Solanum lycopersicum: one gene and its partners. Each later gene encodes a partner of the first gene's protein in a complex. Links are inferred from orthologs where the notes say so. Each region holds a gene or a part of one and is shown on either strand. Other genes may lie near its edges.

The links.
Region 2: large ribosomal subunit protein uL1c (region 1) and large ribosomal subunit protein cL38 share a complex: the UniProt entries of both Arabidopsis thaliana proteins name them as parts of the 50S ribosomal subunit. The link is inferred for Solanum lycopersicum from reciprocal best matches to the Arabidopsis thaliana genes EMB3126 and PSRP6.
Region 3: large ribosomal subunit protein uL1c (region 1) and large ribosomal subunit protein bL21c share a complex: the UniProt entries of both Arabidopsis thaliana proteins name them as parts of the 50S ribosomal subunit. The link is inferred for Solanum lycopersicum from reciprocal best matches to the Arabidopsis thaliana genes EMB3126 and RPL21C.

What each region holds. Positions count from the first base shown.
Region 1 is NC_090800.1:78,436,309-78,439,010, forward strand, and holds the end of large ribosomal subunit protein uL1c, read left to right. Parts: coding exon 1-89; intron 90-974; coding exon 975-1,058; intron 1,059-1,322; coding exon 1,323-1,448; intron 1,449-1,653; coding exon 1,654-1,788; 3' UTR 1,789-2,099; downstream 2,100-2,702. UniProt on the Arabidopsis thaliana protein: This protein binds directly to 23S ribosomal RNA.
Region 2 is NC_090803.1:63,903,501-63,905,912, forward strand, and holds large ribosomal subunit protein cL38, read right to left. Parts: upstream 946-2,412; coding exon 610-945; downstream 1-609.
Region 3 is NC_090805.1:43,261,868-43,265,634, forward strand, and holds the start of large ribosomal subunit protein bL21c, read left to right. Parts: upstream 1-1,023; 5' UTR 1,024-1,146; coding exon 1,147-1,440; intron 1,441-2,895; coding exon 2,896-2,976; intron 2,977-3,366; coding exon 3,367-3,468; intron 3,469-3,560; coding exon 3,561-3,635; intron 3,636-3,767. UniProt on the Arabidopsis thaliana protein: This protein binds to 23S ribosomal RNA in the presence of protein L20.

The DNA of each region.
Region 1 (2,702 bases):
TAGTGGGTGGGGAGGATTTGATAGAACAGATAAAGGGAGGATTTATGGAGTTTGACAAATTGATTGCAACACCAGATATGATGCCTAAGGTGTTTCTACAGTCTTTGCTATTAAAAATGTCTGACTTGCCTTTGATGTTCAATTTGATCTCCTTTTTCATTTTTTATACTGTCTTCGACAACCAGCCTATGAACTTCTGTCTCTTGGTTTTAAGAATCTCATATTGAAGTTTGCACAAGGCAAAGAGCGACTGTCTGTCTCAAATAATTCAGCATATCTCGCTCCCAAAGTTTTTGTGCATGCGTTTGGGCCTTGTCAACCTGGATATATAACTTAACAATGCGTAGCTTGTTCTGAACCAACTCACTTGACCTGGTGAAAAGCTCTAGCTGTTGTATCTTTTCTTCTGAAAATACTTCACAACTAAAATAATGATTTGGTTGAATAAAACATATTTTGTTAAATTCTATCATTCCCTTCGGAGTCTTTCTCTGTCATTCCATGTTCATTTGTTCATATATTTTGCTAGGTTGGTGCTCTTAAAATTCCTTGACCTCAAAATCTGGCTAGTCAGCATCTGCATATTTTCTAGCAAGCCTTCTTTCTGAAAAAGTTAAATCATAAAATTCTGTTGTAACATTGTGCATGAGTTTTACATTCTTCATGTGCCATATCTTGGAACAGCTTCTGCATTGTATATTTGTGAATTATGGTCCATCTTACTTTATCATAAATCTAATGCTGCAGGACTGATGGCAATATTAAGCCTAACTTAAGCTGAGTGATTAATCGCAGAGGCTCCTCTCCCCGTCTTACCATTTTAATGCTCACTGACAGCTGATTCAAAAAATTGAACCTTTTTAAGTGACTTGTCTAGAAATTAGTTTTATTAACACCTGAACAAGTATCTGTGGCTCATTTTACGTAATTTTTTTGTGAATTCATATTGATACATTCTCTACTATTTGCGGCAGGTTGCTAGCTTAGGTAGGGTCCTTGGTCCTAGAGGACTCATGCCAAACCCAAAAGCTGGTACTGTCACTACAAATATACCTCAGGTAACGTGTCAAATATTTTCTTCTTGTGAAAAAGTTGAATCAAAATACTCTCTTTCTTATGTTCTATGTGCAATGGTGGAATCCCTAGATCTTTATATTAAATGGGAAGCCACACCATATATATCCTAGCTTGGAAGTTATTCAGAGTTAACAAAATGTGAAACAATGTAGTTAATGAGTAGGCAGTGATGATTCACTTAATGGACTATTTTCTTGCTCCTTGAAAATGTTTTCAAGTATGTAAACTTGTTGTACTTCCTCCAGGCTATCGAAGAATTCAAAAAGGGTAAAGTAGAATACCGAGCAGATAAAACTGGAATTGTTCACTTGCCATTTGGAAAAGCAAATTTCTCGGAAGAAGATCTTATCATAAACTTCATTGCAGCAGTGGTAAGTTTTATCGTTAGCTCCTATTTCTTATACTTTTGTTCCAGAATAGTTTGAATATACCAACAACAACATACCGAGTAAAATTCTAAAAAGTGGGGTCTGGGGAGGGTAGAATGTATACAGACCTTACAACTACCTCATGGAGGTAGAGAGGCTGGTAGAAGCCATTGTAAATTAATTCAACTGCATTTCTTTGAATGAACAGAAATCGGTGGAAGCAAACAAACCATCAGGTGCTAAAGGAGTTTATTGGAAGAGTGCACATGTATGCTCGTCGATGGGGCCATCCATTCGGTTAAACGTAAGGGAGATGCTGGAGTACAAGCTTCCGAATGCTTAATTGAGCGAGACATGTATATTGTATCTTCTATCATCTACCTAAGTTTCTTCGGCGCCTTATCAGAGCTTCCATTTTATGAGAGTTAGGATACAAAGTAGGTGGAGTTTGAAAGGAGATCCAAACTTCATATTGTCAATATCAGTGTGGAAGCATTCATAGGCACAGTTGCTAAGAGAATAATTTTGTTTGATATTGTCAATGTTTATGTTCAGTTTAATTCTTACTAGGTGCTAATGTACATTATGCTTCGATTTGCTAAAAGGGGAGCTAATTCAATTTTCAGAAGTTTTATATGCTGCAAGATTCTCTAATTTGTGTTCATCTCTTGAGATTCTGCCAACAACTGATTGAGCTGAATAAACCTATCAGTTTTTAGTATTTTTCTTTACTTTACCACTGTGGAAAAGGGTCATACGCATGTACCCATGGGGTGGTAGTTAATTTTTTAGGATAATTTTTGTCCTTCATCACTTGCGATAACAAAAAAGTCGTCTGAAAATACTCTTAACATCGAAAATAAATAAATAAAATAAAAAACCACAAGACAATTTTATTTTTTCGTATCTAATCTAAACAATTTATGTCTCTTATTCCTAAAGAACGAAGCATAAAAGTTCAATTCATAATGCCTTATTATAAAACATAAACTTAGTTCTGGCATAACTCATGAGTTATGACTTATAAGACATAACTTAGTTTCTATGGAACTTATGTTTATCGAGAAATGTGTTCAGTCTTAAAACCCACAAAATCATGCCTCAACAGACTTAACTTATTTCTACAAGACAAAATGTTCTCTAAACTTACGCCTTACGAATGATAACATACAACTTATGTCAAATAAAACAACAAAAATCTCTAAGATTAGGTCATAACTAAAGACACTCTGATCCATAGACATGTACAAAAAGTTA
Region 2 (2,412 bases), on another chromosome or scaffold:
GCCCCTTTTGGTACACGATTCCAATTAAGTGAGCTTGGGGTCTTTTTTGTTTCCCGTCTTTGAATAATTGATAGATTCAAGAAAAGCTTTGAGGCCTTGGTAAATGTTGTCTGGAGGGCAAATAATTGGGTTTCATACTTTGTAAATATGCCATTTACAGTAGGAACATAAAATGTACATTGTTGGCTCGTCTAATCTACTGGATAGTTTGGTTTTGATCGGAATGGTTGTTGCGACATAGTTCAAAGGATTCCGATGTTGAATGAGCGAGTATATTGCCTTAATGCAAATACAAACATAGCTACTGTTTTCTCATTCATTGTTTTTAGTACGAGACCCCTCTCCCCGATCACATTTGATATTTGCTTTACATAATATATAATTTTGCTATTTTATTATACGGAACCGATATTCGAAGGATATTGTTTATTATCTCACAAGCTACGGCATTATCCAGTGGCATTGAATAGATTAAAAAGTAAAGCGTAAAACATTCATTTCAAATCACTTATTGCGCCAAAACTGCAATTGAACAAGTTGCAAATTTCCCCAAAGTATCAGACGGAAAACACCATTATACAAAAGCCGAAATGATAAGTTACAGAAAAATTACTCAGATTTGGCGTCGGACTCTGAAGCTCCGGCGGCAGCGGGTTGACCCGATTCATCACTGGCAAAGGACCACTCCGATGGTAAGGGAGGTAACGGAGCATAAACAGCTGGTCCACGTCGAATATCCCAAGCTTGAGTCTTCCGTGGACGTGTCTTCTTATGGTGAGCTGTAGCCTTCTTCTGTGGCCTAGATGAGCACTCAATTACCAATCCCCCGATACTTGTGGGTGCCGACGCCAACCTGGTGGCTCCGCCGGTGAATCCGGTCGCTGAAACAGTTGAGGAACGCGGCAACACCGCCATCTGCAACCCGAATATGGCGGAGGCTGACATTTTCTTTTTTCTTCTCTTCAAAGGTTTTTCCTTCTTCTGGCTGTGTTTAATGGAACCTTTGAAGTGGATTGCCTTCGTTATCTTCTGGTGACTTCAGTTTCTGCTAAGGTTACGACACCGTTTGGCATTTGGGCCTTAAAGCCCTTTTGGGTTATTTGAGTGTTGGATGTAGTAGAACAACAATTGGTCTGGCCCAAATAAATCTGTGGGATCATTTACACTTTTGCTTCTATTTAGTGTTGGTCTTTAATTTATGTATAGTTTATATTTTTGTATAATAATAACTTACCATTTATGTTCATATATTAAGTCTGAAAACTAAACGTAACTTCACAATCGATAGGAGCGATGGACGGTGTGTATAAAGGGCAGAGACGGAGAAATTCTTAGTTAGAGACCCAAAGGTCATTGTGATTAAAGAATAGTTTATGAAATTTTAGTACATAAGTGAATATAATTTAGAGTCAAAAGTACACGGCCTAATTGAGTTCAAATGAGTAATAATCTTATAAGATCATGGGACACAATTCCTCAACTTGTGTCTGTATGTTTGGTAATGTTTTCAACTAGTCATAATTATTTTAATCTTTCTCTGATATTATATGATTTAATATAAAAGTTATTGTATAATATATGGAGCATAGTAGTTGTATTTTGGACATAACTATGAGAAGTGAATGTTGACTATTAGTAGGTTACATGTTTAGAGGAAATGACTTTACTTCTAAAAGGTTAAATTGTTCCTTCAATTGGTGTCAAATCGTTTCATTTTCCTTCCTTTTTCGATGATATTGAAGTAAACTTCACTTGAATGGATACTTTTATTTTTTCATTACCATAATAACACTTTTTTGTTATTAGTTGCTTATTTAGGCACAACTTGAGTTCACGTGTACCTATTACTCTTTCCTTGCTATAATATATATGTGTAAAATCACCCCACTCCAGAAGGATTAATAGTGTTTTTTATCCATCAAACGTGAACTCAATCACTTGATGTTGAAGGCGACTCAATCAATTATTACATGACAATCAAACACCGTGAAAAAGATACTTGAAAATAAGTAGGTCATACAAAATACACCTGAGTATGATTCTTACACATAAAAGAACAAACATATACGTCTCTTTGCATCTACTGTTAGCCTTGTGAGTAATATTATAGGCCAGTCTATCCCATTTGTAGTCCGTGACCTTTATTGTTCCCCCACTTATATGAATCATCAAGATTAATGGATTGACCAACTTCATCTGCACTAATCAGCCCAAAACATCCTATAGCCGAGTAAAAATGAGTTGGTTACCTCTAGCATTTTGGCAATTAGTGCTTTGTTTTATTGGAAAAAGAGTTAAATTGCATATTTTTATAACTCTGGTGTCCGATCCAGTATCATGTACCCTGATAGTCAAAGATGAAAGAAAATAGAATAGTGGTTTTATGTCGATCGGAATTTAAATCTATGATCT
Region 3 (3,767 bases), on another chromosome or scaffold:
GCCAAGACAATGTTGGGCTATTACCAGCATATATTGGTGCTCTATTATTTTGTGATGGTAGATAGATTTAGTGCTATAGTAGCAAAATTTCAGTTGTTGCTACTCTCAGCAACAGCATGCCCAGTATCTTTCCACGAGCGAGATCTGGAGAGGGTGGGATGTAAACAAACGTTACTCCTACTTTTGCTACTTTATCTTATATAATTTGAGGGTTTTTCCTCTAGTTCATAAATTCTAAAATATTACAGTTGTTTGTACCTGAGAAGTGTTGTAAAAACCTTCTTTATGTCTATATTAATTTGATGTTACTGGAAATTGAGTACCTTTTAAGATCATTTTGTCATATATTAAACACTAAAATAAATTTCAGTCTTCTTTTATTTGTGTAATTTTTTTGATTTATTTTTTTTTCCTTCCAATTTTGCGGGCTTGATTTTTAACATAACAAATGGCATTACTTTTGTTCTTATTTTACTCTTCTTACCACGTATTTGTAATCTTACTTCTACGTTTTAAAGATAGAATAATTATTTTTTAAGAGCCTCAAATTAAATAAAACATATCAAAAATAGTACTAGCACTATGAAAATTAAATATAATGTATATGTAATTGCAAAAAGTAGATGGGAGGCTTTACATAACTAACCTCGAGTCAAAATTAAACAATGATGGCTTCAAGAGTAAATGACCTATTATATAATTTAGAATATTTGTTAATCTCTCCATTTCAAAAAGGATGGTCTAGCTTGCCTTGAAACAGAATTTAAGAAGAAAAAAAAATTTTTTAATCTTGTGATTCTAAATTAAAGTTATGTCAAATGTACCAAAATATCCTTTAATCTTGTGGTCTTAAACATGTCACGTGGAAAGTTCAAGTTAAAATATTATGAAAAAAGGAAATGAGTTTTTTGTTTTGAAACAGACTAAAAAAGGAAATAGAGACGTTCTTTTTGAAACGAAGGGAGTATTATGTTACGAGAATATGTAAATTTATACTATTTCTAATACAATTATTTTTAAAAAAATAAATAAAGGATTTCGGGGTAAAATAGTCATTTGGCTACCACTGCAGATAGGATAGGCTTCAACAGATAAAATTGAGAGAGAGACAGAGAATACCCAAAAAAAACCTCTCACTCTCTAACAATGGCAACCCTTTCCCTGTGTTCTACATCTTCCCCCTCAACAGCACTTTCCAAGAACCAAACTTTTCTTAACACCCTTTCTGTTCCCAAAGCAAATTCCAATGTTACTTTTCTATCTCACTCATTTTCCTCTCTCAATCTCCGTTTCTCCAAGCCCAATTCTTTATCCTCTTTTGTACCCAAATACTCAGAATCTGAAGCTCCAGTAGCTGAAGTTGAAGCTGACCAAGAAGAGCCTGTTGTGGAAGCCACTAGCTTGGAACCAAAACGGGAAGAAATCTTTGCTGTTGTTATGGTGACGACTCACTTCCATTCATGTTTAAATTTGTGTAGACATATCTGTTTGTTTTCAATTTCGAAATCAATGTGAGGGTACAATTTAGATTTTTATTGAAAAAATTATGAGGTCCCAAATGAAAATTTGAAAATTCAGCGGAAAATGTTTCAGTTGTCTGTTACCTTGAATTTTTTTCTCGAAGGAAATAGGAAATTGATCTATTCCCTCTAAGGGAATGTTACTTTGTTGTATAGAGATCACAACTTTGGTTCAAGATTGTCATGTGCTCAACCTTTGATATCACAAAAGCAGTCGGAATTTTAATAAGGGGAATTCAAAATTACTCAGACCTATTATTGAAGCAATTTCTCGAATTAACCTTTGCCACTAGAACGAAAACTTCCTTTATGTCAAACGGATTAGAAGTTCCAAAAATTTGTTTTCATGAAGAATGTTCCACCACACCTCACTCACTTAGTTCATATTTCGTGTTTGCTAGTACTGTTGATACATTACTGCTTCCTATGGTGTATGTGGTGAAAATAGGGAGTGTTACAATGAAATTCTTTCGTTCTGTTATTTATACGTCAATGCCATTCTGTGATGCTTAGGTTTAGCATTCTGTTTTAGGGTGTCTTAAAGGAACAATACACATGTCTATATGTTTGTGTCATATTGACTTGGCAGTGGTGGTGGCTATTGGAAATGTTAAAATAGTCCGTGCTAAATAAGCTGAACTGAACTTTTTATATGCTTAGTATTCTCCAGTAGAGTTGGCTGATGTTAACAGAAAACTATAATTATTATGAAGACATGACGAAGATTTAGTACTTGGTATATCCTTACCTGTGTTCTGGACACCATCCAATTTCAAAAATCTCAGTCTATGTTCTCTTTGGTTTTAGTTTAATTTCGTTTTACAAGTGGGCCATCTATTTTCGGTAGGCGTTTCCTCTAGTTAAGTTGCAAAGGGGTTCATATGGCAGATTAGAAGTAATATAACTAATAAATAACTGATAACTATCATTTAGTTCTAACTTTAGGTGTTATACAGTTGTCAGAGGGAATACATATCTACAAGTCCATGCAAACATTTAAGCAAAAGTCTAGTAATTGTTGAAATTTGATTTTGAGGTTGCCATATTCTACACTTTCATCTTTTATTTAATGTGAATTGTGAACTATTGTATTTAACCGGAGAAAACATTCATGTTTACTACTTATTTGATGAATATTTTTTCTTTTCCATGTGGAAAATACTCACTCTTGCGAGGAGATTATAGCTGCTATTTCAATCTGATCATTATTCCTGCTGCTAACAATTTTCAAGTCCTCTAGGTGTCAAATTTTGTGCTTTATTTTGTTCTTTTTTCTTTTTTTCAGATGAATGTGACACTACCCTAATATAACTCTATGGGGCTTGTCTTTAATACGTTAAGCTGTTTGTTCATTTTTGCTCTTTCGCTTTCATAGGTTGGATCTCGGCAATATATTGTTTTTCCTGGGCGGTATATCTACACCCAGAGGCTTAAAGGTGCAAATGTCAATGACAAAGTGAGCATTTTTGGTCTTAATTTACAATTGATTTCCCAAAATCTGGTTACCTCTCTGTGGCTTTGGCTTTAGTTACGTGAGTTGTTTTTCTTTTTCCTTGTCTCGCTATCTCATATCAACATTGTGGTGTCCAATCAAAAAGAACTTGCTTGCAGCAATTTCTCAATTATGTCAAAAGGCATCAATTTCAACCAATAGTGACATTTGCTTGTCCTATTTCTATTATCTTTAATACATTGTCTTCACCAGTTATTTTCCACGGAAGCTAACACTTGATATAAGGGTTATATGTGTATGTCAAGGTTTTCTTGCCATATTGGCAATACTCTTATTTCAAAATTTCCACAATGAGGATCATTGTTGAAGCATCTATACTTGTTGCTTCTGCAGATTATCCTAAACAAGGTGTTACTTGTGGGAACAAAAACAAGTACTTGGGTTGGAAAACCAGTGGTGCCAAATGCAACAGTCCACGCTGTTGTTGAAGAGCAGGTCAGACATCATTCTTCCTCTGCTGTAGTTTCCACTGAGTATATCTTGTTTACTTGACATATCTGTTGGCTCATTATTACATTTCCATGCAGTTGAAAGATAAGAAGGTTATCGTCTTCAAGTATAAGAAGAAAAAGAACTACAGAAGGAATATTGGTCACAGACAGGTATCAAAGAACTGTTTTTAGTGATATCTGAATAACTATAAAGTAGTTTGAACTTTTTTAACCTATCTGTTTGCCCTTAAAGCAAGGCGCACCGTAGTCTATCATAGTTTTAACTATGTCTGCAAATAATTA